4 linked regions of the Schizosaccharomyces pombe genome follow. The gene in region 1 interacts genetically with each later gene. Each region holds a gene or a part of one and is shown in the gene's direction. Other genes may lie near its edges.

The links.
Region 2: mutations in cwf28 (region 1) and mpf2 together harm fitness more than expected from each alone (negative genetic interaction), as found in Schizosaccharomyces pombe (one large-scale study listed by BioGRID).
Region 3: mutations in cwf28 (region 1) and atf21 together harm fitness more than expected from each alone (negative genetic interaction), as found in Schizosaccharomyces pombe (one large-scale study listed by BioGRID).
Region 4: mutations in cwf28 (region 1) and SPOM_SPAC9E9.04 together harm fitness more than expected from each alone (negative genetic interaction), as found in Schizosaccharomyces pombe (one large-scale study listed by BioGRID).

What each region holds. Positions count from the first base shown.
Region 1 is NC_003423.3:3,987,260-3,995,479, reverse strand, and holds cwf28 (splicing factor Cwf28), read left to right. Parts: upstream 1-2,494; 5' UTR 2,495-2,642; coding exon 2,643-3,788; 3' UTR 3,789-3,868; downstream 3,869-8,220. Other genes in the region: signal recognition particle receptor alpha subunit Srp101, read right to left, coding at 124-405, 484-1,644, 1,823-2,023; fes1 (Hsp70 nucleotide exchange factor), read right to left, coding at 3,950-4,813; serine/threonine protein kinase Ppk25, read left to right, coding at 6,194-7,465. UniProt on the Schizosaccharomyces pombe protein: Involved in spliceosome maturation and the first step of pre-mRNA splicing.
Region 2 is NC_003421.2:382,524-391,276, reverse strand, and holds mpf2 (meiotic pumilio family RNA-binding protein Mpf2), read left to right. Parts: upstream 1-3,041; coding exon 3,042-5,153; 3' UTR 5,154-5,257; downstream 5,258-8,753. Other genes in the region: proteasome regulatory subunit Rpn8, read right to left, coding at 1-435, 480-530; ggc1 (guanine nucleotide transporter), read left to right, coding at 1,453-1,743, 1,865-1,959, 2,059-2,575; transcription factor TFIIH complex subunit Ssl1, read right to left, coding at 5,409-6,456, 6,587-6,804; SPOM_SPCC1682.06 (uncharacterized protein), read right to left, coding at 8,139-8,464, 8,510-8,753.
Region 3 is NC_003423.3:1,718,571-1,726,992, forward strand, and holds atf21 (Atf-CREB family transcription factor Atf21), read left to right. Parts: upstream 1-4,442; coding exon 4,443-5,510; 3' UTR 5,511-5,880; downstream 5,881-8,422. Other genes in the region: transcriptional activator MBF subunit Rep2, read left to right, coding at 1-313; mrpl35 (mitochondrial ribosomal protein subunit L35), read right to left, coding at 981-1,907; mRNA guanylyltransferase Ceg1, read left to right, coding at 6,277-7,485; rpl802 (60S ribosomal protein uL2), read left to right, coding at 8,107-8,422.
Region 4 is NC_003424.3:4,441,470-4,449,192, forward strand, and holds SPOM_SPAC9E9.04 (bcap family protein), read left to right. Parts: upstream 1-1,560; 5' UTR 1,561-1,608; coding exon 1,609-1,764; intron 1,765-2,049; coding exon 2,050-2,460; 3' UTR 2,461-2,727; downstream 2,728-7,723. Other genes in the region: 3-isopropylmalate dehydratase Leu2, read left to right, coding at 1-903; sor1 (sororin), read left to right, coding at 2,992-3,933; SPOM_SPAC9E9.06C (threonine synthase), read right to left, coding at 4,397-5,872, 5,931-5,999; GTPase Ypt2, read right to left, coding at 7,446-7,723.

The sequences.
Region 1 (8,220 bases):
ATACTGATTCAACGAACAAATAAAAAAACAATTAAGCTTAAAAAAATTGTTACCAAAGTAATTGATATCCCATTAATATAATATGGTAAAAAATCTTATAGTTAAAGGTAAACATTTAATGGCTTACTTCATCAGTTGATCAACTACCCAGTCGACTGATAATGTACGAAGATCACTGTAAGTTTGTCCAATGCCTACGAATATGATAGGTACCCTTACCGCGTATACCATGCCAACCATAACACCAACTAGCTGACCCACAGTATCAACTTTAGAAATAATAAAACCATCCAATGGGCGATGATAAAGGGAAGCTTGGAAATGTTTTGCTTGTGCTAAGGAATCTGTTCCTACTAATGCTTCTGCCACTTGAAAAATTTTATCCAGCTTAGTAGCTTTAGTAAACTGTTATGTTAGTTCAAAGTTCAAACAATTCTATCTTAGTAGAAGACTCAATACTTAATCAATTTTGTAAGTAATTACCTTTTCCAATGATCCCATAAGCCTTTGATCGTTATGTCTCCGGCCAGCAGTATCAATTAATATAACATCAAAACTATTTTGCTTGGCATACTCAACAGCGTTCTTAACAACAAAGCTCGAGTCTTTACCATATCCCTGTGCAAATAATTCAATGGAGCTACCCTTCAAACTTTGGAGATTTTTCACATGTACTCCGAGTTGTTCAATTGCACCCGAGCGAAAAGTATCGCAGGCAGCAACTAAGATTCGAAAGTTGTTAGATAAAAGCCAATACGCTATTTTAGCCAATGTTGTAGATTTTCCAACACCATTGACGCCAATGAGAGAAATGGTATACGGACGGTTTTCGTTTTTGCGTACAGAACGAATACTATGCAAAAGGTCCAAAGATGTACTTGGGGTGAGTATTTGAGTAAGCCTATCCCGAAAGGCCTTGTTTACTGTGTTTTTCACAGTATCAAACGAACCAACTTTTTTGTTTATCAACGAAGCCTTCACAGATTCACAAAGCTCCAGAGCTATAGAATTTGCGACATTCTTTTTTGTTAAATGTTCTTGCATTTGCTTTAAAATTGGACTAAGATCCTCCTCCTTCAAGTATTTCCCACCTATTAAGTTGGAGAAAAGGGAAAACGCAGAAGATGCAGATTTATTGGAAATTGTTTGATTGGGATCCATTTCCAAATCACTTATAATAACATCACCACTACCAGTCTTTTGAAACTTATTATTATTACCCACAATAGAAGAAAGTTGGGAATTATCGACTGTTTGGGAAGCAGAAGATGCTTGACTAGAATAGTTCAATGCAGCCTGTTCTTCCTCAGTTATTTGATCATCCCATTTTCTGAGTTGCTTCTTTCCTTTTTTAGGGGCATTTGTTTGCTTGGATTGAGCGCCTTTTTTCTTCATTTCATATTCATTTTTCTTTCTTGCTGAGTTATCATTATTAGCCTCAACAGGTAAAGATTTCGTGTCTGTTTCATTCTCCAGTTGTGCTGATTTACGATTAAAAATGGGAGCGAACAGTTTTTCAACTTCTGCTTCATTAGGAACTTGACGATCTTCTAATTTTTCTTTAAATAGATTCAGAAATATATTATGAGCACTATTAAGCAGTGATTGAGAATATGCCATACATTTCAAATCTTGAAACACAACCTAAAAATTCAACCGCGTTAATTAAGTTCAAATGACACGATAAAGGTATGGCTTTGACTTTGACAAATAATAGAAAATCAAAGATAAAGTATAAACAAAAAAATTTTTGGACCTCATTTTGGGTGTATAGTAATTGACAATTTCTGTCAAAGCACAAATCACAATATATTAAACTTACCACAAAAACTATGCTATATTGTGTAGCCTCTTGATACTGCATGGTGTACCGATCAAATGTTACGGTGTTGTTCACCGTTCTTTGCTCACTTAAGAAAGCTTCGTGAAATAAAACTTGAAGGCATTTCAAATTAACAAGAGAATTTGTTTTTTTCCAAAGTACTATGCCTCCTTTATTAACTATCGCAAACAAGTCAATCATTCCAGGCTCAATCACAAATGGCTTTAAAAGTAGTAAACTACTCACCAACTAAGAAGGAGTGTTCTTGATTAAACACATTGCTCACTGCCGTACAATACATAATAACGCACTATACCAAATCTATGGTGCTAATTGAGTTAAGCTATTTGCTTAAACATATTTTTCTTAACGTATTTTAAAGATTACCTTAAAACTTGTTGTATGCAATATTATACAAGGATAGATGCAATTTGAGACTAAAGGTTGATATTAACAGTAGGCTTTCGTTTCAACCAAAATTGTTTATACTTTTATATTAATAAAAAATGCCACTAAATAAAAAAGCTATTTTTTTACTGCTATTTGAAGGTGCGTTTTAAGTAAGGGAGAAATGAGCATGAATTCTGTAATCCAAATAAAGAGGTAAAGGGAGCACACACTATTCCATGTCTGGGCAACGAAAAATTCCTGAAAAGCTTCACAACTCTCATTGTACGAATGTGATTATTCTCAAGACTATTTTCACTGTAATTTTAAACTTTCCTTCCTACTTATAATCTGGCCGATTTTTGCCATTTTATTTTTTTTGTTCATTGTAATACGCTTAGTCGCAAACAAGTGAGTTATCATAATAACTCTGATGAAGCGAAAAGCCGTATTAGAAGCATTCAGCGATTCTGAGGATGAAGATGAAAAAAAATTAAAAGGTCCTCAACTTATTACTGGATTTAGCGCTGAAGAGGGAGTTCATTATCAGAATGAAACTATTCAGCGCATACACGAAAAGAAAAGAGCGCCAAAGATAATCCACATTGCAAGTGATGAGAACTGGATGGAAAAAAGAAAAGCCAGGTTTAAAAAAAAAGAAACAGAAGTTCATGAGAAACCTTCACAATTGCCAGATAGCGGCTTAAATTATGGTCTAAATATTCGGGTGGCTTCTTCATCAGCAGCGGATAATGAAATTGTGGACTGGAAGGCAAATAATTCAAATGAAAAGGCTCAAAATAAGATAGCCACAAATAAAGAAAGTACTGATATTCTTCCTGAAGAAGTCCAACTTGTCCTTAATGATTTAAATGACGATGTTAAAAGTGCTAATTCTGCCAACTTACAGCCGATTACCACTAATGTTGTTAACGAGAAAGATGCATATAGAAAAGACATTGACGAGCTTCCGGAGCCTTCTAATATGAAAGATTACTCGGAAATTCCGGTTGAAGAATTTGGCGCCGCCATGCTTCGAGGAATGGGTTGGAATGGTCAATTATCTTCTAAAGATGCTTTTGATGTTAATCAAAGGCCGACGTTTTTGGGTATGGGAGCCAAGCCTGTGGATTCCGAACTTACTGAGCTGGATATTTGGAAAAATCCAAAAAAGACTATGTTTCTTCCTGTTAAGCCTCTAGAATCAAATTCCGCTCTGAATTCACAAAACGAACATACTGAAGTACAGAAGAAGTCAAATTCCATTGACAACTTAACTCCCAGTTCAGAACTATTCAGAAAAAGAAGCCGAGATAACAACCTCTCAAGAGAGTCTTCAGTGAGCAGTAAACATTTAGATTATAATTCACGAAATTACAACAAACGCGATAGAGATCCAGACAGAACTAAGTATCGCGAATACCATTCGGAGCGCCGGAAACAACATCGAACAGACCGTTATTCAGATGATTACTATCAAGGAAGGAGTTATTCATATAAAAAACGTTCTCATAGAAGCGATAGATATACTGAGAGAGAAAATCCAGATAGAAGTTACAGAAGTACTCGTACACTTTAATGAATTTACGATTATCTTACTTTTTAAGTACCACAGTTACTAGAGTATCCTTTCCAAATAACCAAAAAATTGTTTATCAGTCATAAACGAAATAAAACATCTCATTATATTGCTCCGTAGTCCACATGAATAATAAAAATAGTAATCGAAGCTTTCAACCTTTATTCAAGAGCTTCGTGAAATGCTTTCCATTCATCGACGGTGAAAATTTCAGGAAACTCTGACTTAAATTGTACGAGCGACTTTAATAACTCGTTAGTATTTGCGACAGACACTTTATTTTTCTGGAATAAATAAAGTGTATGAAGAGATTTGGTAACACAATCCTCATCGACAGAATGTTCAAGACTGAATTGATAAACTTTTTCTGGAATCTGAAATTCGTGTGCCTTTTGAAGAATAATTTGTTTTGATTTATCTTCTTGAATAAGTAATGCATAGAAAAAAAAGATAACTCGTTTTGTCATAACCGAGTGTTTAAGCTCCAAGATTTCAATCAGCATTTCCCAAGAGTTTGGGATTTTATCTAATAAAGCAATTCCAGCTTCGTTAAGTTTAAGCTCACTAGTTATTGCATAAAGGACTTTATTTTTTGTTTCATCCGAATCCTCTTTTTTTAGGGCGCCGAAGAGAATCTTCAATCCATCATTTTCTATAAGCGCTTGTTGAGATTTAGGATTATTTTGAACGGCAGTTGCGATCGTCCAAGCAGCTAATCTGCGCAAGGTAGATTCCGGACTCTCAAGCTGTTTCAATAGGCGAGGCCACAATTGCAGGGGAACCAAATTATTTGCATTGTCAATATGCTCTACGAGCATTTCTAAGTTGTCAAAAGCTATCTCTTTCTGATCTAAAGGTACCGATGGATCCTCAATTGCGTCCATCGCTTTCCTCATTTCATCAGCTGGGTTTGCTCCAAAAATATGATCTAAAACTGAGGGATCAAGGTCTTTAGGATCAGGAGGAGAATTGGAAGAGTTTCCTTGAGCTTGCAACTGCGTACTGAAGGCCAAAAGTTTCTCCATTGTGTCAAGAATAAACAATAATAATACCTAAAAATTTGAACTTTTGAATAAAAATTTCGGTTTGGGTAGAAAATGCTTATTCAAATAAAAATTCAAAAAGAAAAAGTAGCAAAAGTTAGTAAAAATGGTAAGATACAAAAAAGTCTTAAAGCTTTAATGGGAACTTGCACTTATAAATGCGAAGTAGATTACTGCCTAGAGTATTCTAGCAAAATCCTAAATAAATATATTAGGGTTCGTTAAGCAACTTTTACGAAGGTATAAACTTCACATAATTAATCTTAACACAACTGTGCAGATCCTTAAGTTGCTTAGTAACGTGTTTGCAAGCTAAACTGAATGGATCATGTGTAGGAAAGCTGCGGATGAAATTTTAAGAAATATAAATGTACTACGCTGGAATATACGTATTAGTTGAGAAGTGGATCTTTGGAATAAAGAATAAAAGCTTTCTTCTCACTCTTAAAATATTTATAACACTATTTTAAGATTGAAGTACATGCTACTATTTTGAAGCATTTCAGTAAAGCTACTTTTAATTCTTTTCAGGCGATATTAATTATTGGTAGAAAAAAACAAACAGTGAGCAGTATGTATAATGTACTATTTCTTAGAACTGAAAATCAACAATTCATTTTTAAGCATCTGACTTTCAACCATTATTGTAAAAGAAGTAACACAACGCATTGTAGTCAATTAGTATAATCTAAGTTATTGGATCAATTATCATAACAGCTATAAAAAAAAATAACTACTAATGGGCTTTTGATAAAAATTTATCCATTCATTTCATTTATTATAAGAAAACATCAATTGATCAACATGATGCTTAAAATTGCAAAATCCAAAAAAAGTAAAACCATCGCTTTTAAATACTCAAAACCATAATTTTTTTTCTTTAATGTAAAAAAAGAACAAATTTAAGTAACCTTCATAAATCCAATGCATTTGTTGTAAGATACTGGTAAATAAGGGTAAGTTTTCTGACGAGTTTTATTATTTGTTTACATTTTGTATAACGCACACTAACGAAACAAATTAATTAACGTCGCGACGCGTCCCGTGTACCATACTGACCAAACCAAATAATTTTGCCAAGGGAAGAACCTTGAGAGGAGTGTCTCAACCTTTAGCAAACTCCATGTGAGTGGATTCTCACTTGAAAATTAAATGTCTGCTTTTACATAAGTTAAGCGTTACAGTGATAAAAACACTTTAATAGTATTGTTGTTACTAAGAACAATATATCTTTTTATGTGAAGTGAGTTTTCTTTTTATGATAATTTTATCTAAGACACTACTTCTTCCTTTCTTAACTTCATTTGTAATTGAATTATTTAAGCACAATTTTGTTCATAAATTCCTTTTACAGCTGAGAAGATGAAACCGAACACAACTAACCTAAGGAATGAGTGCTGGGATACTTTCTCTATTCCTAAACGCTCTCAGAATATAAAAATAAATCAGTCTACAAAACATCAAAGGTCTATATCTGATTTCGTTGGCACAGCTGGTCCTGGTCGACAAGTTGGAAACTGGATTATCAAGAAAACAATTGGTGCTGGCAGTATGGGAAAGGTTAAACTCGTTGTAAATATTTTAACAGGAGAGAAAGCAGCTCTCAAAATGATTCCCTTTACTCCTAATAATACAAGTCAGACAGTTCGTGTTCAAAGGGAGGCACTTTTAGGTCGTTTATTGAGACATCCCAACATATGCCGGGTAATAGACTGTATCCGGACGCCTGCATGTACTTACATACTGTTCGAATACGTTCCTGGAGGACAACTTTTGGAGTACATCCTTGCTCGTGGCAAACTCGATGAAGATTTGGCTAGGAGTTTTGCTATGCAGTTGATTAATGCATTGGTTTATCTTCACAAGAATTTTATTGTACACAGAGACTTAAAAATTGAGAATGTTCTTTTAACTCAGGATTCTCGTCAGGTGAAGCTAATTGACTTTGGCCTCAGTAATTTTTATAGTAAAGACGATTTATTACGTACATACTGTGGGAGTCTTTATTTTGCGGCCCCAGAATTACTTGATGCAAAGCCGTACATAGGCCCAGAGGTTGATGTTTGGAGCCTGGGAGTAGTGATTTATGTTATGGTTTGTGGACGAGTCCCATTTGACGACGTTTCCGTTCCTATGCTCCATTCAAAAATAAAGTCGGGTAAACTGGAGTTTCCTTCTTACATTTCAGAAGATTGTTGTTCTCTTATTGCAGCTATGCTGAATGTAAACCCACGGAAGCGCTGTTCTTTAGAACAAGCAGCAAAATTTCCCTGGTTAAAAAAAAATTCGTTTTGTTTGTATCTGCCTATTCCCTTAACCTCTATTCCCTCAACGCCTTCAATCCGATCTCATGTTTTCAAACCGCCTTTTAATTTAAAGGTTTTACAGCTGTTACATGAGCATGGTTTAGCAAGTATTCCCGAACTAAAACATGAACTTTACATGGCTTACATTGAGAGAAAAACAACTTCATTAGTCTGTCTGTATTTATTGGGTGTCGAAAGTCTCGCTCCAGCACTTCGAATTCCAACGGCTTTACCTCCTGTATATAGTAGACACCAACGGCATCATTCAGAAATTCTGGGTGCGATGGATTTGACAGAGAAAATTACTGCTATGCAGTGTCCACCTTAATTCCTCCTGGAGTAATTTTTGTTAGCATTTATTATGTGTTTTCGAAGAAGTTCCATTTTAATTAAAACCTGTGGCTCTTTTTCGTTACTTTAATTAAAGAGTTTCATTGTTTCTAAACTTAACTTTTTTCTTTTTTTTTTGTTAGTGGGTAAAGACGAGTTAAGGCTTTTTCTTTTTGTTTTCATTCTTAAATAATACAGTTTTGCAATCCAACATATACAAAGATTCTTACGACTTGCGTTATAATTTTAAAATATAATTGATCGATTTTTGATAGCATTACTTCTTTAAATCCGTCGCTTTTCATGAAATATTTGAATGCCGAATGCTATAAACATTTATAGATAGATACCTTTCGCCATTGAAACCGAATGAATTCTATAAGTTTCTTTGTCAGGTAATTTAATTACCTTTATTCTTAATCAATTTATTGGTTGAGTTATCTTTACATTACCCCAGTAGGTGTGGGTGCCAAGTAAACCTTCATCGATAGTATATCTAGTGAAATGGTGATAACAATACTGCATTGGATGATTGCTTGATACGTAAAGAAAATAATGAACATATATATACTTAACATTCTTACGAAAGTAATGGAAGAGAAAAATTAGAAATTACGTTGCGATATAATATATATTTTTTTAACTACAATATATATGTAATAACGGGCCCAAATTAGATGACAGGAAATTAGATGTAAGAAATCAATTCATAACGTAAGACATTGTTCAAAATTAAAAAAAAAAGAAAATTAG
Region 2 (8,753 bases), on another chromosome or scaffold:
AAAAGTTCTGCTGGACTTAGAGCCGTCGTCTTCAATTTCATCAATGGCAAAGTAGGCATTAGTCGGAAGACCCACTGATTTGGGCTTTACATCGATAATGACAAGAACGGGATTGGGTATGTATTTTTTAAGTAAGTTGTTGATTTCCAAATCAGAGGGTCGGAGTTGTGGTCCAGTATGATACCAGCCAACTAATTTTTCATTTGCATTGATTTTTTTAAACATTTCATTCATTGATTCCATAAAATTATGGTCCAAAAACCAAACCGATGCATTCTTTTCATCTTCCTCAAATGGTATAGCATAACTATTGGCCACGTTTACAACGTCGCCATTATTTTGACCCAATAGAATACCAACGACCCGTCTTTTGGTTCCCTTGGCAGATCGATTATAAGAATCTACTGCTGACAGAAGTACTAATGGATGCACAATCTAACCAATGGTTAATAAAAAAGTTTCTCAAATTTTCTACTTACAACTTGCTGTGGGACGATTGTAGAGGTTTCAGAGCTCACTGCAGGAGGCATTATAACCGGTTTATATTAAAAATTTGTCTCTCACAACTTCAACTGTGTATGGCAAACGAAAGGTTGAAAGCGTGTAACCTCTCATCACATGCTGCAGCGGTTTCCTACTTACCGCAAGTTAAGACATAGTTCATTACAGAAATATTACGATACTTTCAAATGCCCAACTACCTATTAAGCGCTGTAATATAACAATGCTTTAAACAATGATCATTCCATTAGGCTACTAAATGGCAATTATATTACACTCCCTCTCATATGTAGAAAGGATTGAAGAGCTATACATTTAAATCATGTTAAACGTGTAATTGCACGTAATTTACTCAAATAAATTCTGAAAAGACATGGACATTAAATATTGAAGACATATCTTGAAACCATCTGCTCTTTTTTTAAAGAAATACTTTGCATATCAAATTACATGCTGGTATTTCGATTTGAAGCATAGTATATCACTTTTAACTACTTAATCAAACCGAAATACACGTGAGACGCATTCCAAAAGTTCATTAAATATCTGTTCGATGACTATATTTACGATGAAACAAGTAAAAGAAACTTTCAGTAAGAACGTTCTTAAAAGTTTTCGTCTGAAGCAATTGAAACAGTTAGAATTCAGATATTTTGTATGTCCACACGTTTCATCAAAGCCATATGCATGAGATTTTTTGCAAACTTACATTAATAGGATTTGTGTTTTTGGAATTATTTCAAACGTTTAAAAATATTAACAGAAAAACATAGATCACTATTTGAGAACAACGATATTTCATCTTATCTCTAAAACGAAGGCTATCAGTTCTTATCAAAAAATGAAAAAAATTTCAATAAAAGTTCACTACACTAAAATCCTTTAACTTTTCTTTTTCAACACAACGAAACTTTTTGGTTATTAATTAAATTTTTAAATAGATAGAGAAAGATGGCTCCTGTTCAGTTGAAAAACAAAGAGTCGCAAACCGCTCGAATTGTGGGATCAGCATCTGCCGGAATTCTCGAACTTTCACTCTTTCATCCTGTTGATACAATTTCCAAGCGTTTGATGTCAAATCATGGAAAAATTACTTCTTTAACTCAACTTAACACTGTAATTTTCAGAGATGCTGCCTCTGCTCCTCTACTCCAAAAGGCTACCTCTCTTTTTCCTGGTTTGGGCTATGCTGCTTGCTACAAAATTGTACAACGTATTTATAAATATAGCGGTCAACCAATTGTATGTTGTAGAGTACTTATACTGGTAGTTTAAAGCGTACGTTTTTTCCAAGCCTTGATGGCGGAATTAATGTATCGCAGTTGGCTTCAGTATACTCGTTCATCTTTACTAACATGTTCAGGTAAAAGACTTTTTGAATGAAAATTATAGACATACTTTTGATAAAACTTTTGGAAAGGGATCTGGAAAAGCCATTATGCATGCTACTGCTGGAAGGTATGTATCTGTCGAATATTTGTTTAACTAAGCTGAAAGCTTATGTTTAAGATTGTTGAAAAGGGAATTCAAGATGTGTATAGCTTACTAACTTTTCAGTATCGTTGGAATTGGAGAGATCTTCCTCCTTCCCTTAGACGTCCTGAAAATTAAGCGCCAAACCAATCCTGCAGCTTTTAAAGGTCGCGGTGTTTTCAGAATTCTCGCTGATGAGAAATTTGCGTTGTATCGTGGATGGGGATGGACTGCCGCCCGCAATGCCCCAGGTTCTTTTGCACTCTTTGGTGGTAACGCTTTTGCTAAGGAGTACATATTTAAACTAAAGGATTACTCTCAAGCCACTTTTTTTCAAAATTTTTTCACCTCAATCGCTGGTGCTTCTGCTAGTTTGATTGTCTCTGCCCCTCTCGATGTTATTAAAACTCGTATTCAAAATAAGAATTTTGATAACCCTCAATCCGGGTTTACTATTTTGAAAAATATGCTTAAATTCGAAGGACCTACCTCGTTCTTTAAAGGGTTGACTCCCAAATTGTTGACAACTGGTCCTAAGCTTGTTTTTTCATTTACCATGGCTCAAACCCTTATCCCCTTCTTTGATAAGCTTTTGAAATAATATGCTTTATTTCTTCATTTCAATGTTGAAATATTGTTGAGTGTGCTCTGTTTTTCTATATAAATAATTCATTGGGGTTGTAATCTTTTGAAAGACTTTACTTTTTGGTTCTTTTTGTTTTTGTCATTCAAAAGTGAAGAAAGTTTTTTTTTGAGACTGTTATTGATCTTTTACTTTGTAAAAATACTAACAAATATTTTGTTTTTCTTTTAATTTTTTTAGATATACTTGTCCTTAATCTACTTATTTTCTCAAATATTACTTCGATTGGTGTTTGTTTTGTTTATTTTGTTTGTTTCTGTTATTGTTTATTTTTCTGAGTGAACTTACCTTGGTAAACACTATTTGTTTTGGTTGGATATTTATAGCCTGGTGTCAGCAACTCTTCATCCACCAATATCCAATTTCCGAAAGAACAGAAAAAACCATATCCATTAAATATTAGTTTTTATTTATAGAGTTTATTATGCAGTCAATTGATTTAAGGCTACCTTCGACTTCTGCAAATCATTCAATCTCTGAATCGCTGGAGCATTCCAAGTCAGAATTAAATGAACTTTCAAATGTTAGTGAAAGCGAATCTTATTTCGATATTACAAAGAAACTCCATGCATTAAGCACTGTTGTTCAACGTCAACAACGAGAGATCGACAATCAGAAAAGAGATTTGTGTACCAAAACGAAACATATTGAAGAATTACAAACGCTCTTGTCTAATGCAAATATCATGTCTGATGGGGCTTCTTCTCAAAATGATGCATTTGCTCATAACCCATCTACCTCTGTTTCTGTAGAATTAGTTCGACCTGTTGTTGGGACTAAAAAGCATGCAGTATACGCAACTTCAGCTCCTAAGAGCATGTCATTGCAGGATTCTTTGTCTGTTCCTTCGGCAACTGCTTTGGCTGATGTTTCAAGTTCGTTGAATTATTCTCGAAAATTAAGTTCGAACAGTATTAAATCCACGAATGCTCCTGTATTTGGAACAGCAGTCAAAAACGTAACAGGTGAAAATATATTGTCTGCATCTTCTTCTGAGGAAAATTTGAACTCTAATAGAAACGGAGATCCAAAATTTCGTTTTTCAGTTTCACCATGGATATCTTCTTCGAATTTTAACCCTTATGAGGCTTCGTTAGCTAATTTCCAATCGGACAATTGCAAGCTAAAATCCCATAACTCATTACCATCGATCCGTACCAATGTTCGATATAGCAATTCTAAACCGTCAACACCATTATCTCCAGAGGATGTCGATCTTGGAACTTATACAGTTAAGAACCGTGATAGTTGGTCGAATGAAGTGAATCTCTCGGCATCCACAAATAACTTGAGTACGAATACGTCTGGCACGTTAAAGCCATACTCACTCAGCTCTTCTCGGAGTTCTTCGTACTCGAAAGGAGTAAATAGTGCCGCCAGTTTACAGTCCATATGGGAAACTATGAATAACTCGAACCCATCTGTCATCCCCGAGTCTACTTCTTCAAGAGAACCAGCTGCCCGATACAGAAAAATCTCTGAAAGGAATGCTGTATATGATTGGAATGTTATAATTGATAAAATTATTGTAAGCAATGATCAGCAATCTTCGATATTCCTTCAACAGAAGCTGAAAATTTCTTCTTATGATATGAAACAAAACATTGTTGATTCCATAATATCTCAAATCCATCCTCTGATGCTTAACCGCTTTGGGAATTTCTTAGTTCAAAGATGTTTTGAGCATGGCACTGCCCCACAAATTCGACAAATGGGATCTGCCATGTTGGGAAATATGTTAAAATTGGCAACAGATCCTTTCGGATGCCACGTTGTTCAAAAGGCAATAGATAATGTGACAGAAGATATTAAACTGGCTATGATGGACGAGTTATTCCTCACTATTGATGTTACAATAATGCACCACTATGCATGCCATGTCTGGCAAAAATTGTTTGAAACGCAATGGTACGAGTATCCAGTTAATGTCATGAATCGCGTAAACAATGCCTTGAGAGGAAAATGGCACGAAGTTGCAGTCGGGGAAAATGGAAGTCTCGTAGTCCAAAATATGTTTGAGAACTGTGTAGAGAAAGATAAGCGTGAATGCATTGAGGAAATCATTTTTCATTTAGACGGTATTGCACGTGGTCAATGGGGAAACTGGGTGGTGCAACACATGGTAGAAAACGGACAAGGAGAGGATTTGAAAAGAGTCATTGATGCATTATTGAATCGTGCAGTGGAATTTAGTATTGACCAATTTGCCTCTAAGGTCATTGAAAAAGCAATTAAGTCTGGCCCAAAAAATTTCATTTCCTTATATCTAAAACAAATTACAAACGCGAGAGTTGACCGAACAAGGCAGCCTTTAATCGATATTGCATCTGATCAGTATGGCAACTATTTAATTCAGCAAATAATTCAACTTGGTCAACCAGCTGAGAAAAACCTTGTCATTACGCATATAAAAAAGCACATGGTTTCTCTTCGGGGAAGCAAGTACGGTCAGAAGGTTGCTTATTTAGTCGAGAAATGGAATTCTCAAAAACAGGTTTCCTCTGTAATCAACTACAACTGCAATACTGACCTCTGATCTGTAAATATAGGGATATATTCATTTCCACATTTTAATTAGTTTTTATTTTATATATGATACAGCTCTAACACTTACTGAAGCATCAATAGATCAAATTTTCACTATCTTCCGGATAAGGTAGTTAAGCAACGATCTCTTTAAATAAGTAAATTGAAATATATATCTCTTTACATATTTGTGAATAAGTAGCATAATAGTATTTTAAAATAATTATTATAAATAAATGCGTTCATTAATATACCAAAAGAAACTTTAATTTCCGGAGCATTGGCATCCATAACACTCATGAAGTTGTTCATGCGCAAAAACATCGCAATCCAAACAAAAATGATTTTTACACGAGGGACATGCATACCGCATCGATGAAGTAGATTCGTCAAACGGTGAAACCGGCGGCTTCGGAAAAGGTAACTGACACGCAAAGCAATGAGTGGACTTTGGATTTGCGGACCAAGGAATTTCGCTCCAGTTTTTCAATGGAAACAAATGATGATAAGATCGAGCAAGATGTGTTGAAAGGATTAGAACGAGAGAACAACTAGGGCATTCGATCGGTAAAGTACAAACTTTTGCTTTACAACGAGGACAATGAAACCCACCACGAGACGGAATTGAATGGCAAGCACAAAGACTTGGCAATTGCTCAACGACCTTAGAAGGAAATCCCATCATTACCAAAGAAGCATCAGTGGTTTTAGCCGAATCAGTAGCAGGAGGTATTGTGCTTTCGAGTAGAAGTTCGCGAAAATGTTGTTCACTGATGACTACGCCGTAGGCATTTTTCGTAGATGAGTTAGTTTTATTACAAATTTCTTTACAAATGGCGACTTCAGCAGCCAAACCAACGATACGGACACGAATAGAATCATGAACCAGAGCATCAATCGTCTTGAAAATGTCGCCAGGGTCTGATGATAAGATGGAACCAAAAATGATAAGGACTTCTCTAGTGCCATGGGAAGCAATGTGTGATAAAGAAGCTCTAGCCATTTCGAGAGCATTTTGAAGAGAGAAGTTTCCACTACAATCTCGAAGAGATTTAAGCTTCTGAATATGCGATTGAGGATTCCCATGCAAATCAGTTATCCGATGAGCGATTCCATCCATTACGCCTATAATCGATAATTGGGAAATAGGATTTTGTTCAAAAAACTCAAGAACAAATTCAGAAGCATACTTTATCTGAAGGTCGAACCGCTTATGATGAAAATCACGCTCCTCCATAGAGTTGCTCAAATCTAACACCAAGACCATGTGTCTAATAATACCTCGTTGTAACGGAGTTGTATCTCTAAGAAGTCTAAATCAGATTGACAAGTTAGTATACCGTTCATCGATGCTATAAAAGACTAATATGTTTCCAAATGCCCAACATAGGCAACTAACAAACAAATGAAGAACATAAGAAAACCAATTTTGATACGCCATACCTTTTACGTTTCCCGCTTTGAATAAGCCCAGCGATAACGCCTACTAAACTACCCTCTGCGTCCTCCTGTACGATATCCCAAGAACGCTGATATTCACCTTCCCAAGTATAACCCTCATTATCGTCAGTTTTCCTGCTTCTTACTTTAACTCTTCCATTTTTTTGTTCATCCTCGCTTTCCGACTTGTCAGAGTCAAAACTTTTTTGGTTCTCATTCATTGAGTGTTATTTTAACCGAGCATAGGTATTATGCCAGAACGCTATTTGATAATTAGATAAATGAATATTGCACAAATTCTATTCCTTGGTTTCTACAGACTAAAGAACTCAAAGCGAATGTATTTCTTCAAGTCACGTTTTACCCAGTGAACTTTTGGTAATTTGAATAGTCGCGTCGAGTTGCTTTACATGCAATGAGCGAAAGTTCTTTCTTTTATTATTTTTAGTTTTATTTTTTTAAAAAGCAATGACTCCTGGGCATACCAGTAAAATGGTAAGACTAAGTAAGTACTAGAACAAGAGACCATTTACACGAAGACAATACGGACAAGGAGCGCAACCATTATTTGTTAAATATAATAATGAATTTCGTTATGCTGCGTTAATTCGTGTTTATCAGTCTTTGATTTGTGATATGAAATTTGTATACAACTATTTCTGTTATTTGAAAAAACTTAGGAAATTATGAAAGTAAAAGAAGAATATAAAATAAATCTGTACTCCTCATTCTTTAAGGATGAGTTATATATCGTATTTTATAAAATTATTTATGGCTCGGTTATTTGTACAAACTGCATATTGCAATATAGTAGAGACTTAGAAATTTGCAAACTGCGTAATTGCCAATATTTTATGTAAAGCTACAAGTGATATGGACATAAGAAGAATAATTACTTTTCGCTTAGGCTGAATGTTGGATGGTTTGCAGGACGAAAGAGTTCATTTAATTGATTTTCTCGAACAGAAATTGGCTACTGACTAGGAATTGCGAAATCGCATTGTTTAAGAAGTTCTCGTTCTACTCCAAGGTCGATTTTTTCGTTTTTATTTGTCTTAGAAACAAATTTCAACTTATATTTGCTGTATATACTGGTTTTTAAAACTCCAAAACTTGAGAATGATGAATGGAATCCTTATTTCGTATATATCCAACAAAAAAAAAGGTTAAATCACTACTTTGCATCTTTTGAGTAATGTCTTAATTGAACAATTTTTTAAGTCGCAAATCTTACAAAGTCACAATTAAGGATTGTATATCAATTTGGTAAAACAATAAAGAGGATGATTAATCTATAATTGACAACAGATTCATTAGTTAAATGAATTTTCCTAGCACCACAAATACACATCGTGTTTGCTCTATAACAGAGACAAAAATAGTGATGACTGTCATCGAAAATGATTAAGTGATGATGCATATAAGATAATAATACAAGGAATAGAAATAAAGGAGAAAAGTGACTTTTGCAAGAAAGTAAGAAAATTAGTGATGAAATAAAAAAAACCCTCGCAACTGTTGGCAGCCCCTTGATTTTTTTCTCTAGCCATGACTTTTAGTTGCTGCCCGATTCTACATCTTTAGAAGTGTTGCAATCGGTTTCCTCAGCCATTGTATTGTCACTTGCTGGCTCTGTGGTAATTGCTTGGCCTCGCATAGACGACATTTCAACGTCGCCAGTCTCTTCATCTTGTTCTATTACTTCGAGCCCGAGAATAAACAACAGTAAGGATAAAATAATATGAGCCAAACCTTGAATTGCTTTAGCTACATATTTAGCTAGGCCTGCAATCGCTTTAGCTAGACCTTCATTCGCTTTAGCTACAGACGGTGCATAAACATAAGCTTCTTCAAACGCTAATTTAATTAACGAAAATGAAACTAGAAAATCGTTAGTCATGAATTCAAATCATCTCAAAAACTTACAATAAACAATAATCACTGTCATCACGTATGTAAATATTAACACTATAGTTTCAATAACATATTTAACCACAGAATTAAGATCCGCCAATGCCTGATCGAAATAATTATAAAAATTATGATAAAGCAATAAAGTAAGAATGAAAGGAAGGAAGATATGAAATATCGCATATCTAGCTTGTGTAAGTCGCACATTTTCCGAACGCTTTCTTAATCTAGCAGGTGCAGCCATTGTATTTTTTTTTCG
Region 3 (8,422 bases), 2.3 Mb from region 1:
TATCCATAGAAAGCAAGACAAGGGCTTAATGGCAAGGGTCTTGTCTAGATCCAAGAAGCAAGAGGAGAGAGAGAATCACTCTTCTGATGCTCGTGATGCTATTAAATCTGCCCTTCGAAGGAGAATGCGCCGTCGTGAAGGCCGTGTTCAAAAGGCTTTAAGGCCCACCCCTAACTTAATTTGCTCAAAATGCAATACCACGTTCAACCATTCAACGGCTCTTATGATGCATGAAGCAACCTGCTTGAATCAAGTTCCCTTTAAGCTTTCGGACTTTTTTGTTGAGGACGTGATAGATGACTGGCTCTTTTAATATTTCCGTTCATACAAAGAAGCAGCTTTCGTATCTAGTAGCATTACGGATATGTAATAATTATCGCTTATTAATGACGCTGGTTATATAAAGCGTATTAAAATTTTGCTCAGTCGTTTTACTCTTGAGAGCTTCATCACTTCTTTTAGAGAAGTTATTTTGAGATCATAGTATAATTTACTACATCAATTAGGTAATCAAGAAATATAGTTTGAAATGATAGAAGACTGCTCTTATAACCTTGTTTTAGGAAACGATCATCTATGCACTTTTTTCTATGTTTTGCTATCAAATATCACTATTACAGACACTATCTTTTTATTTTCGCGAAAGCTATAATGAAATATATTACAATACAGCTCACACTTCATCTAGATTGAGCAAACATACTGTAAAGAGGAAACACCAGTTCTAAAGTTACAACTGACTTTAGTTTAAGGCATAGGATAGGCATTTTATTCACAGATTTGCAATTGATTTAATAAGAGGAAAGTAAAATAGGACTATGGAACAAGGCTATCGTCTTAAAAAAACCTAAGAAGGGAAATCATGTAAAAGATAAACTATTTTGACACGAGAGGAGGGAAGCAATGCATGCTAATGTTTTGAAACATGGAATGAAAAAATGACTTATAAAAACAATATTTTAGGGGCTCTTTTAGTAGTTTCATGCAGGGATACGTTCTACACGGATATCTCGATATTCGTGTACAGACGGGTGCTTGGATAATAATGCAACTGCGTCCGAATCCCAGCCACTTCTCCAAAGATGAGCGCCAACAGGTTCAAGATCATAGATTGAGCAAAACTCAGAGAGGTCAAATCGTTCGCGGACAAGTGCATTAGAAGGAATACTAATACTAGATGACTTTTGCCGCAAAACAAGGGTTAAGATACGGTGTTTATCTTCTCCACGGTGAACAATAGGAGGCCGATATTGAAAGAAAGCTTTAGAAGTATCAATGGGCACACGTTTGGATGCTTCAATGGGGATATTCGTTAAAAGCCAGTTGCAATGAGTCTCAAACCGGTTTGTTTCGTAATTCGGGACATCCAAATCTAGTGTTATAACTGAATAATGATTCTTTTTACAATTAAAGGGTAAAACTGATAGCCACGGGGTCTTTACAGTAACCGTACTTGGCAAGATAGTGCCAGGAGTGATAGAATCATTATTTTCGGGGTTAAATCCTAACTGTACGTCGACAGATGGCGAAAATGAGCCAATCCCAGAGTCCTTTATTACTTTCATCTGCTCCAATCTTTGTAAAAGAAGCAATTTTTGATAATCTTCCCACTGTTGCTTAAGCATGTAAAGGAACACCGGATTCGTGTAGTCGATCTCCTTTTTATGAAATTTAGAGCGTACTTCCGGTAAATTAATTTGTGATAAAACCTGTAACCGTTCTATTTCTGGGGAAGTTTCACTTGGGTTTTCTAATAATTTAGCCTGAAGCTTTTTGTGAACTTTCTCCGAGTATTCCTGTATTAACTTTACAGAAGAGCGATATGCATTTTCCTGAGCAGCACTGTAAATACTGCGAGCCCTACAGACATTCGAAATCGTAGGAATTCTAGGCCATACGCGTTTCATCCTTGCAATGGTAAAAGCTAAGTAATTAACGGTATGGATGTGTATAGGAATAGAATAACACAAGAGGGTATAGCGCAGTGTAAGGAATGCTAATGCACAGCTTTTTCGATATTTACGGTTATACAAAATAAAATTAGAAATGGAAACTGTGGATGTTAAACATGTTAATTGGAAAAGGTCAATCATACCGAGTCCCTTCAAGGTTATGACCAAAGTTTTAGTGGTAGGTTTAAGCAACAATTCTACTCCCGTAAGCTGCTTCTAATGGGAACTAGACTGTAGCAATAGCGTTCATGTTTAACCAAAAGCTACAAGTTATATGAAACGGTCATTTGCAAAAGTCAGTAAGTTTCAATGACTATAATGAAAATATATTGACTCGACGACACATAGTGAATCATGAGTCAGAGTCCGTATGAAGTAATATGTTCCTAATTTGACGGCTGCATTGAAAATTCAGCAATCGGAAGGAATGAATAAGAGAAAAATATTCAAAAGAAGTGAAATAGCTACGTGGGTTAATCAATAGTGTCTACGTCCAATTATTATCTGAGGTATACACATGCAACAATCACGGCATTTACATCTCAGTAAATTAAAATAAAGAAAAATAATATCATTAAATTAAGTCAAAAGGTTTAAAGGTGATATCCTATGAATTCGGGAAATTGCCAACTATATCTTAGATAGTCACATTTCTACCAAATTGACGTAGAGCTTAATTAAATATTCCAGATGTTGCTAAAGTATTCTCATATTGTCAACTGCGAAGTTCAACATCTTTCGATTTGCAGAACTGATTCAATCCAGTGGCTAACTCATGGTCGTATGTACGATCCGTTCTGTCTATTTTGATTTAATGTGACCAAAAGTTAAACTTCATCTCGTGTATAGTTAAAAGATATGATAGTATACATACTAAAAATGAGAATTCTGGCAAACCAGATTTAAATCAATAACATGTTACTCTTGCTTGCGACAATATAAGTAAATGTGGGCAAGAAAGATGAAGAAGTATTAGAAACAAGTTGCGGCTAAATTTTGAGAAAGGATTGATAGCGGAAAGGCTACTAATAGTAATGATATGAGCTATTATTATCAGTAACGATAAAGCCGTTTATGGTGGCGCGCGTAAGAGAACGACAAAATTTGAAGCCTAGGTAGTTTCATCAAAACCATTAAAGGAAATAAATATGAAAAAAGCTAGCAAGAGAGGCGATATTATATTTTCGCATTCACAACTTTACTATTGACGACTACGAATACCGAGGGATAGCGTTATTATCTCTCCACAAGTAATCGGCTATTTTTTGATTGGTTTAAATAAAAGTAAATCCTGATTATATTTGACATAATCTGCATCAAATAGAACTCTAGATTTTCCTTTCCGAATATGGTGGCCAATTAACGGTACGACTGTGATGTAAATATTACACAGTGGAGCGACACGTGAATGTAGTCCCCTTCGGTTAGCTCCTTAAAATGGAGGCCTTAAAGGATAATACTGCTTGACTTTTTTAGCATAGTGCCTTTGTTAATTGCAACAAATCCCTTCAAACAAAAAAAAAATAAATTTTTATAAAGAAAAACTTTTTATTTCTATACGGCAAGTTCATCTCATAAAGTAAACAAATCATTTCCCGATTGGCTACCCTAGCCCTTCGTTTGTTTGTTTTGCAGTGACGTCAAAATTCATCTCACCCGATCAACATATATAAACATTGCGACACAAACCAAAAAGTTACCGACTGCAGCATCATATTTCTCAGCAGAAACGTATTCTTATAGTAATCCAAGTCCAAAATTAAGGAATTGGTATCTTAAACCACCTTAGTACATAGTTCTCTATTGTTTATAAGCCTCTTTACTTGCCAGGGACGCAGTAAGACATTGCTTCCTTCACCACCTTCATTATCCTTTACCTTCTTTCTCTGTCCACCTTATATATATATACTTATTTTCCCAGGAATCCTCACTTTTGCCATTAATCCATTCCATCCTTCTGTAGAACGACGAATTGTCATCCCTTCCTTTATCGTTCGTTCATTTCCTAAAACCGGGACACTACTGCATGCTTAAAACAGAGGAAAAATAAAGAGAGAACACATTTATATAATTGAAAGAAACTTTTCCATTGATAGCTCCTAAGTTTCAAATCACCAACTTGTCGGTTTATACATTCTTCATTTTCTTTTATTTACTTTTTTGAAGAAGTTCACAGGGATCACTATTCAGAAATTTTATACAAAGATATTGCATCCTTATTCATCAATCCAAATTTGCGTCACTTGATCGACCACAATTTGCTTCATCTTCCCTTCCCAATTTGTTTCGCCAGCACCTGAATAACATAGCCTCTTTTTAAGATTTAACCTTCTTCAAGAAATCACTACATATTCGCACTACTAACAAAAAAGAAACTTTCGCTTTTTATTTAGTCCGTTCTTGTATCAACTATCTTCATCGGCTTTACCGTCGAAACCATTTCAACCGCACTCAATAGAAAATTAACTTGCTCATCATCAATCTTCCATCATGGATTTCGCAAATGTGTATCTCGGGTTAGATACACTAGGTAATGAAGGATATGGTGCTAGCGTCAGTAATGGCACTCACCATGATTTTCATTTTAACTTCAATACATTCCGCGATGGTGGTAACCATGAAGTTGGAGAAAAACGCGCTGAATCTAGCGATATCGGAGTATATGAATGTAGAGGTCCAGTCCAGGGACCTAAAGATCAAACATCCTTTCCCTCGAATTCACATAATAACTACGCTTCAATAGTAGGTGATGCTAGCATTGGACATTACCTCAAAGGACCCGAGCGTACTTCAGAGGTATCATTACCTCAAACGGTAAACCTTTCGGAGATTTCTAACAATAATGACAAAGGCCAGCCTACAAATACTCCTCCTGTACGCTCAACAATTGTTGCACCTTCATTATACTCTGAAGGTAGTACTTTGAATCATTATAATAATGGATCTCATCAAGTGCTTCATCCACAATTCCAAAATGGAACCAACGCCCCATACGTAGTGCAGTCAAATCTTATGCAAAACAATGTTAATCTAACAGGAGCGGAACAAGAAAAAGGTTTGGACCTATATAAGAATTCCGCTACTGCGAATAACGATGAGATTTTCTATAATCTTGAATCCTTACGTAGAGAAGGATACTTAAACTCCAACAAGAAGCAGTCTCAATCTCCAAATGGAGACTACAACAGCAGCGATGAGTCCTGTTCCAATAAAACCGTCGCCTCCAGTCAACGACGGGGTACACCTGGCAGTAACAATGTTCATACCGCTAGTAACAATGAAACTCCTGATATGAAGAGGAGGCGGTTTTTAGAGAGAAATCGAATAGCCGCATCGAAATGCCGCCAAAAGAAAAAGCTTTGGACACAGAATCTCGAAAAAACAGCACATATCGCATGTGAGCAGTCGAAAGCTCTAAGGATTTTAGTCAGCCAACTACGTGAAGAAGTAATTTGTTTGAAGAATCAACTATTAGCTCATCAAGATTGCAATTGCGAAGGAATTCGACAATATCTTTCTTCAGAGGCTCAAGGAATTATGTCCTTTCAGAAACATTGAGCAAATGACACCCCATTGAATCAAGTTTCGTAACATTTTTTTATTATACTGTATATGCATTTCTGAGAGCCTGGATAGAATCTTGCAATAGGAGATGCTTAAAAGACGGCCAGTGCTGCTCTACTGCTTGTCTATAGTAATTGTACTTTAACTCTGGCATATTTTATTTTTCTTTTTTCACAATACTATTATTTTCTTCGCGTCACTGTGTTCATGGGATTTGCAATCTCACTCCAAACTCGTTTCATTCAATTGCTTGGGTTTTTCATTCATGTTTCTTCATTAAAAGTGTTTATGTTTCGAAGATCCTTTACGCACGTTTCATTTCCAGATTAATAATTACTGTAATGATATATCTTCCCTATATGTATTTTTTTAATAGGTTACGATTGCTTTACGAACTTGACCTAGATGAGCCAAATCTGTAATCACTGCCATATAATCTGTACCTCGTTCACAGACATGTCATTTTATCTTCAGTACGACACCACAGTTACATATATTGTTTGCTTTGGAATAAAAAAAAAATTAAGTAATAGAATAACACTTTCTGAAGTAAATGGTAGAAAAGATAACAGTATTCGTAGAGCAGCTATAATTATATGCATTTTTGCGTTTTGCAGCAAAAGATCACTATACTGCATAAGGAATTTTTATACAAACCATGTGTCTTTATTTAGTACATTAAGACTATATCCCGTTTCTACTCCTTCAGAAAGTGCTTAAGCCCTCTCTTAGCAAAGAAACGAGTGTATTATTAAAAGGAATGGCACCCTCAGAGAAAGACATTGAAGAGGTATCAGTCCCTGGAGTTTTAGCACCGCGCGACGATGTGAGGGTTTTAAAGACACGAATTGCCAAATTATTAGGAACAAGTCCTGATACATTTCCTGGATCACAGCCAGTTTCTTTTTCAAAGAAACATTTACAAGCATTAAAAGAAAAGAACTATTTCGTATGTGAAAAAAGTGATGGAATTCGTTGTTTACTTTATATGACCGAGCATCCTCGGTACGAAAATCGACCCAGTGTATATTTATTTGATCGTAAAATGAATTTTTATCATGTTGAGAAAATTTTTTATCCAGTTGAAAATGACAAATCTGGAAAAAAATATCATGTTGATACACTTTTGGACGGTGAGTTGGTTTTAGATATCTATCCAGGTGGTAAGAAGCAACTGAGATATTTAGTCTTTGATTGTTTGGCATGTGATGGAATTGTTTATATGAGTCGATTGCTTGACAAACGCTTGGGAATTTTTGCTAAAAGCATTCAAAAGCCCTTAGATGAATATACAAAGACTCATATGCGCGAAACTGCCATATTTCCTTTTCTCACATCGTTAAAAAAAATGGAGCTGGGTCATGGTATCCTAAAGTTATTTAATGAAGTGATCCCCCGACTTCGTCATGGTAATGATGGACTTATCTTTACATGTACGGAAACTCCTTATGTATCTGGCACTGACCAGTCGCTTTTGAAGTGGAAACCAAAAGAAATGAATACAATAGACTTTATGCTAAAGCTGGAATTTGCACAGCCTGAAGAAGGGGACATTGATTATTCAGCCATGCCAGAATTTCAACTTGGTGTATGGGAGGGTAGGAACATGTACTCTTTTTTTGCCTTCATGTATGTTGATGAAAAAGAATGGGAAAAATTGAAAAGCTTTAATGTTCCTTTATCGGAAAGAATAGTAGAGTGCTATCTGGATGATGAAAATCGTTGGAGATTTTTACGTTTTCGTGATGATAAACGAGATGCAAACCATATCAGTACAGTTAAAAGTGTATTGCAGAGCATAGAAGATGGCGTTTCTAAAGAAGACCTTCTCAAAGAGATGCCTATTATCCGTGAAGCTTATTACAACAGAAAGAAACCCTCAGTAACGAAACGGAAATTAGATGAAACCTCTAATGATGATGCTCCTGCAATCAAAAAAGTAGCTAAGGAAAGTGAAAAAGAAATTTAAGATCTTTTAACAAAAACAAAAGGAATATTTAATTGATTCCTATACCAAAAGAACGCAAAAATGTTGAAAGCTGGTCAGCCATTAATATCCGACCTTCAAGGCCAATATAATTGGACTTCTAAAGTGTTTATGCACGGACCCTTAGAATTAAGAAAAAAAAAGCTATGAAGGTTTAATTTGACTACTTATCGTTTTTACTTTTAAAGCATGGACTACTGACTTAGATTTTTCAACTTGCTACATCGCTATTGCTATCGCAAATTTCAGTAACGAATATAATCTCTCTCTTTTTTTGAATCGCCATATTGATCATCAATTTATTTATTTTGAATTCGCCTTATTTCACAACCAGTTTACTATTTAAATGAAGCTCGGAACTCCCAGCATGGAAGAGTAAAATCTATGCACTTTAATTTAATAATGTTTATGCCTTACAAATTCTTTACATTCATACTAAGAATAGTATTTTATCGCAGTATCTCGTAATAGAATGTTACTAGGTTTTAAGACACTAACGATGAACTTCTCTATATTACACAAAAGCAGTCACGAGTACTTTTCGAAACAAGGCCTGACTGATTTGTACACCAATCTGTTACATACTCTTTCAACAAACTAACAATGGGACGTGTGATCAGAGCTCAAAGAAAGAGTGGTGGAATTTTCCAAGCTCATACCCGTCTTCGTAAGGGTGCTGCTCAGCTCCGTACTTTGGACTTTGCTGAGCGTCATGGATACATTCGTGGTGTCGTCCAAAAGATCATTCATGACCCTGGCCGTGGTGCTCCGTTGGCCAAGGTTGCTTTCCGTAATCCTTATCACTACAGAACTGATGTTGAAACCTTTGTTGCAACTGAGGGTATGTACACTGGCCAATTCGTTTACTGCGGTAAAAACGCTGCTTTGACCGTTGGTAATGTCTTGCCTGTTGGTGAGA
Region 4 (7,723 bases), on another chromosome or scaffold:
AGTCCCGCTATGGCTGCCGCTGCCGCTATTAAAGGACATCTCTGTAATGTTCGTGAATTTTTTGGAGATGTTTCCAACGGATCTCCTTCTATTATTACTAACAAGAACTATGATCCCAGCCATGATGTAGAGGGTGATATAGGCCTTTCTGTTGACGATGCTACTGATGCAGTTACTGATGCTGATGGCATTGCCACTAATGTTGCTGGTTCTGTATCTTCTGGATCTGCCGGTATTCCCAAATTCACCGTCGTTGAAGGCATTGCTGCTCCTTTGCCTATGGCTAATGTCGACACTGACAAAATTATTCCCAAGCAATTTTTGAAGACCATTAAACGTACCGGTCTTGGTCAATTTGCTTTCTACGAAATCCGTTACGATGCGGACGGAAAGGAGATACCCGACTTTGTCCTCAATCGCGAACCTTACCGACATGCAACTGTTTTGGTTGCTCACGACAACTTCGGTTGTGGTAGCTCTCGTGAGCATGCTCCATGGGCATTAAACGATTTTGGCATTCGTGTAATTATTGCACCGTCTTTTGCTGACATTTTCTTCAATAACTGCTTCAAGAATGGTATGCTTCCTATTCCTACTCCAATTGAGCAAGTTAATGATATGATGAAAGCCGCTGAAAATCAAGTCAAATTCTCTGTCGATCTTGTTAATCAAACTATAACTTATGGTGATAAACAAGTCAAATTTGATGTTGAGCCTTTCCGTAAACATTGTTTGGTTAATGGTTTGGATGACATCGGACTGACTTTGCAAAAAGAAACTATGATTGACGCTTTTGAGGCTGCTAGAGAAGAAAACTTCCCTTGGATGAATATCAAGCGCAGCCGGGCTCGCCTTTCACCTGTTAAAAGCAATAAGCAATCTTCTAGCAGGAACGATTGGTGAGCAAAGTCAGTCTCCCTTGTTTATTTATGTTTAAAAAAAGTTTTTCTTCTTTCATTCTTTTTTTTAATTGATCAATTTTGTTTGTAATATGTTGTCATATACTGTTTATTTACAATAAGAGCCTGTCGGAAATATCATACTAATAGCTTCATATCCAAGTACAGTAAAGGTGTTATATAGTAGCTGTTATAGGGTTGTTTGAGCAAAGTTAACGAAAATGTTGAAAGTATCTAGCAGGTAGTGTTATAAATATATATATATATATATATACGACTGTAGACGACGCTAAAAATAATCAGATGAATCTGTCTTTCGACTTTGTGGAAGCTGATTTTTTGTTAGTATGTCGTAAGTTACTGTGTTAAAGAACAAAAACGTATAGTGTATGTCCGCTTAACTTTCGTAAAACTTCGAGGAAACGCAGTAGCAATGCGCTTGGTAAGATGTTAGTATGGTAGAACTGTATTTGTTTACTGTTTTTCTTTGATGTGAGCGAAACCTGCAAAGAGACTTGGTCAGAAATGGTCTTTTAACTTCAACCTCAGAGTCAGCTTAATTTAACGGCATGACTTTTTGGCTTAAAATCAGCAAGTTCAAGAGCTTACGTCATAGGAAAAACTAATGAACTATTATTTAAGGAAAGCGTTATTCTCACTTGTCCTTTCCCATACGTTTTTTTGTAGAAAACTTTCTTGAATTATCAAAATGACGATTTACTACATGATTGTTTTTATGCTCTTAATGGTAGAGATAGTATCATTTGTAATACTTTCTCTGCCATTACCACTTAAAGTTCGAAGAGCCATTTTGAATGCCATTAGCAACTCCCCCTTCGCCGGAAGAGTGAAACATGTTTTAAAGGTAAGGATCACATTATAAATATTGTAAAAATAATTGGGTGTAAATTTTCAGTGTATCACTTCATCCTGATAGTAGATAGCTAGTTGCAATGAATGCGAAAAACAGATTCCACATCCTTTCTCGTAGGAAGATGGAATTATTCACTTTACGATTCTATAGAAAAATAGCTTAAAATGTTTATTATGCTTTGCATGGCAAATATATGTTGACTTTGATACCTGATTGATTTTTTCCTTCTTCCCATATCTTATTTTCCCTTCTTTTCTTGTATGCTAATACTTTTAGATTACTATTATTTGCATCTTGATTCTGTTTGCTGACTCTGTTCGCCGTGTTGTTCGTGTGACCAAAGAATATGATCTTGCTATTGCCGCTCCTAGCACCACCGAAAGTGCTCGTTCGGGATATAAGGCTAGCCAATTCTACGCTCAAAGAAATTTGTATCTCTGCGGATCTGCGTTGTTCCTCTCTTTAGTTGTCAATCGTTATTACCTTGCCTTAGAGGCCATGATAGCTGCTCAAGATAAAATGCAAGCTTTACAAACTCAAGTAGAAGCTAGCACTAATAATGCTAAGGCCGTGGAAGAGCTTGAGACTCTTCGTACAAAGTTGGAGACCCGTGATAAGGAATACGAGACATTGGCTGAAAAATATGCTGCAGTTACCAAAACTGTCGAAAAGAAGAAGGATATCTAATTTCCCCCCTTTTCTCCATGGCAGATTTAAAATTATTTTTTAATTTGTACAAACCGTCAAATTCATGCTTTTACTGTGTCCTCATTTGTCGTTCATTCTTCGCCTTGGATTTACTACGTGAGCCCTTCACCCCTTTATTTCCTCATATTTACGTCCCGGGAAGTATACGCTAAAAATTATTTTATTTTCATAAAGTGATGGATTAGTTAACGATGCTGTTGTTTTATACGATTTAGGTTATAAATATAAATAAATGACTACCACCATACCGTTAGTTTGTCGTGTTTTGTTTCATCTGTATTTTGATAGGGTGTAAATAATATATGTTAAAAAGAAAGAGCAATGTAATTTTTCTTTCATTGCAATTTTGCAATGGATTTCTTGCATTTCTTTTCAAAGTAACGTAGGTAACAGTATAATCTTGACATTGGAATCAAAGATTCAGTAAAAACTGTACGCAATATACAAAAGTGAAATGCATTGAAATCTCTTCTGGCGGCTTAATTCATTCGAATTTTCTCATAATATAACATGGATTCCGATGATTCTTTTGTTAAAACTGCCCATGTAATTGAGACTTCGACGCCAGAAAATAAGAAGTTATCTCACAGATTCAAAAGCGTTGAAATTGTGCCTCCTTCTTCAAGTAATGATGATCCGTTTGGCTTCAGCTCAACAAAAGGGATTCGTTTATCTTCGATTAATTCCAATGATCTTGTTAATACACTTTCTAAGGGATTCAACGAAACCTCTAATATGTCATATAACAGAATTCTTCCCTCCTCGCCTCCTACATTAGAAATAGGTGAAATTGATTATAACGAAGCTCTCCAAATAAGATCTGCCGATGAAAATCAACAGTCTGTACCAACTGTCTCAATTGCATCTCCTTCAACTCCAGAGCTACCTCCTTCTTCCTCTCCGCTTCTGCCTCCTAATGGCTCAGAATCATCTTCACCTATTCCTCTTTCTCTTCTTTCTACTTCATCTTTACAGCAGAGAAAAATCACACCGTCCAATCTGAGCAACACATCAAAGCCAATGGATTCAAAGCAACTTGAACGACTTATACCTGTTCCACATGGGCATCATTTAACGCGTTTGAGAAAAAAACGGCGGCGAGATGATGACATTGATTTATCTGGGCTATATGAAACCAAATCTTCTTCACCACCTGCCATTCATTCTGATGAGGACCCTAGTTATTCAGACAGCATTGCAAGATCACCGGTGAAAAGTGCATTCAACTTGCGAAAGCGACGGAAAGGTGTAAAAGAAAAGAAAATTTTGAAAACATATCATTCGCAAGATAAGGATACAGCTTCTGATAATGACAACAACACTGGTTCATCAGATGAAGAAAATGATAATTTGAAAGAACTTACTCCCGGCAAAAAAGAGTATTTAAAAAGCATAAAGAAGTACTTCCAAGATGTCGACGATTATCAGCTACACGTAGTAAACGAAGGATAATTAAAAATTGATTGCATCTGCGTATACCTCATGGTGTAAGCTAGGTTATGCTTCATTAATCCTCGTTTCCCTCGTTTTTTGATGCTTACTATTAATTGCTGGGATAATTTACTATAATACTATGCTTAATAATGGGGTTCATTGACGCAAACAAAGACGAAACTATATAGAACCATGTCTATAAATACAAAAGCTAAGTCAATCATTTGAAATTTTCATTACATATCTTCAAGTAAAAATAAATTTAAAAAAAAGGAGAAAAAAATAAACAAAAGAATGGATGAAAGTGTCTTGCTAAAGATTAAGCTTAAACCTCAAAAATTTTGACGACTCCAAAAACGAATTAATACTATGGATATGTAAAGTCAACTTCTATATAACTAAAAAATACCGGGAATCAGATTTTTTTATTTTTTTTTTGAAAAGAAACAAAGTAACGGTAACAATGGTATCCCTAAATCCTCTAAGCTTTCTCTCTGCTGAGAGTAACTTCAATAATTTGTTTAAGAATGTCAATATTGGGTTTTCCTGAGAAAATGCAGGTGCGCTCCTCATCCAAGAGGCCATCAAACTCTATCGGTAATACTTGTGTGTTAAAGTTATAATCACTATAAGAAGAAAGAGCAAGGTTTACTGCTTTGTCAAACTTAGCAGGATGAGCTGTGGAAAGGCAAATATAGGTAATATCCTGGTCCTTAGTCTTCTCTAAGCAACGAAGACCAGTTTCGACGCCAACAGCAGTGTGTGGGTCGATGATATAATGATCACTTTCATAGATTTTTTTAATAGCATCAATGGTTTCATCATTACTAACACGTTCACTCACGAAATCACGTCTAGCGGCTTCCAAAACCTCGGGACGGACAGTAACTGTTCCATCACGTTTGAATTCATTCATCCAGCGAGACAAAATTTCCGAGGCCTCAGCAGGAGTATGATTAGGAGCCTCAGTGGCTAATGCAAGATACCATAAGTAACGCTCGAAGTTAGAAGAAACCAAAATGTCCATTGCAGGAGAGTAAGTTTCTTTGGCGGAAATAGGTCCACTGGGCGAAACTTGAGTAGAATCAGCTTTTTCATAACGACCAGTCTTGAAGAAACGATTCAAAATATCATTCTCGTTAGTAGCAATAACAAGTTGTTTAGTAGGTAAGCCCATACGCTTGGCGTAGTAACCAGCGAGAATATCACCAAAATTACCGGTGGGAACGATGAAACGAACATCGTCAGCCTTTCCTTGCTTGTAAACGGAAAGATAAGAATATAAGTAATAGGTAATTTGAGAGAGAATACGAGCCCAGTTAATAGAATTAACGGCACCAATATGATGCTTCTTATTAAACTCAACATCGCCAAAAATTTGTTTAACAAGATCTTGACAATCGTCAAAGACGCCGTTCACAGTGATACAGTGAACGTTAGGATCTGTGACTGTAGTCATCTGAGCTTCTTGGATAGGGGAAACACGTCCATTGGGAAATAAGATAAAAACTGAAACGTCCTTCTTGCCACGTAAGCCATAGATAGCTGCACTACCAGTGTCACCACTAGTGGCACCAACCACGGTCAGATGATCACGTTCGTCTTCAGGTTTGTTTCCGTTCTTACGAGTAAGGAAAAATTCAAAGAGGTTACCAAGAAATTGCAAAGCAACATCTTTGAACGCAAAAGTAGGACCATGGAAGAGCTCAAGTACATTGAGACCGTTCTTTAATGATTTTAGAGGAGTAGTCTCTGGGTGGCGGAAGGTAGAGTAAGAGCGATCAACCAATTTTTTCAATTCATCAGCTGAAATTTCAGAGCGAGGAATGTACAAAGACATTACCTCAAAGGCAATTTCAGGGAAGGATTTGTCCTTCCAAGCCTCAATCCATCCGCTAGGTAGCTGAGGGATTTCTGATGGAATAAACAATCCTCCATCATTAGCCAAACCCTTAAGCTATACAGTAATGGCAATTAGTAAACCGAGTTATAAGTAAGACGCATTTGTGACATACCACAGCCTCTTCAAAAGAAAAATTTGAAGATCCACCACGAGTCGATAAATAACTAACTTGGCTAGACATTTCGCTATTTCCCAAAACAGAACGTTGCTTGTTCTTGGTAAATAAAATCCGCCATTTTTCAGAGAACCTTGCAATCTTTCGTGTTATCAACAGTTTACAAAATTGAGTGTACCAACGTAAATATTTTAAAGATAGTATCGTTAATTTTCACTATAGTAGCTCTTTGAGTTGGTTTTTTTCGAATTTATTATTTTCTGAACCCGTGGCTATTGCTCACTACACTACTCCATTTTACGGTATGCTTCGCTACATTTTTTGTTCTTAAGTTTTATATTTGTCACCCAAAACGGAAATGTATTCGTAATTTTTAATATATCCTAAAATGAAAATATTATAAATTGAATCAAATTTCCTGCGTTTCATATTTCAATTATCAGCTATCAGCTGGTAATTGTACATTAAGTCCAACCTGACTATCGATATATATATAATTGCATATCGTTAAATTGTCATGAAAAGAAAATAGTAAAATCCCAAGTTGAGACTTACCGCAAAGTAACACATCGTTATCTTGGTTAGCAATTGCGTAGTTAACAAAAACGTAAACAAACAAGAGTATGAGTATGCCAAATTACTCTACATTGCTGAAATCGTTTTAATCTTGGCAATAATCTGGTACATCGACTTTCATATAGTAATACGTTGTTTAAAAAGATTAAGATGCTGAAGTGGTAATCTTGGAAAGGCTTCTGTTGTGGTCTCGTTGCAAGATAAAAATAAAATAAAATCTACAATGTAACAAGGTAAGTAGTCATCTTACGTTTAAATGAAGATGAAGATAAGGCAATTAAAATATGTAAAAGATAGGCGTTAAAAGACGTTTCGATTGATGACAACCTAATCAAATCGGTATAACATGATGAAAAATGTAAACTTGGTTCAGTGGCCCAAACATTTAAAACAATAGGCAGCAGCCGTAAAAAATAAATGAGGTAGATCAACAGGACGAATTAGATGGTGCTTGATTGCTCGTTGCAAATTGATAAAAGGATTCGCGAGAAACATTGGAAAATGGCCCCAAGAAAAAGCAAAGGCATTACTTTTTGAAATGTTAAGGAAATTGCAATGAAAAAAGAGACGTTGAAAAAAAAAACATGGGAATTGATTATATTCCAAAATGTAAACTCGATCTAATCACAACAACTCGAAAGCATATCAAAAGTTGATTGAAGCTATTAGGCATAAATTTTACGTTATGAAAGCATTAAAAAGTAAGAGAAAGTGTACAATATAGAGAAATATTATAAACTTCCCAACCGGGTAGAGTTGAAAAGAGTAAGGAAACAAAGTAGCAATCCGGAAACGATAACCAACACAAGATATAAAAAGCAATGCCAATCTCCACTCCTTCAAGCTCTCCACACACTTCACGACTATATACGTATCGGCGGTGCTAATATCAAAAACTAGCGAAAAAGAAAATGTGACAAGATAATAATAAGGAGCCTAACAACACCTCTTCACCGTACGATCGTTTCCGAGGTCAACGTTATTTGCCTGGTTGGAAAATTCGTTTTCTGCATCAATCTTTTGTTTTTTTATTTCCCGGGCAAGGGTAAAAAATGCCTCATCTACATTGACGTTCGTCTTCGCACTAGCTTCTAAAAATTTAACGCCCAGCTCATCGGCTAACGCTTGTCCCTGTTCAAAGGAGACCTGACGCTGATCCTCACAATCACATTTATTTCCAATAAGGATTTTATAAACATTTTCACTAGCATGTT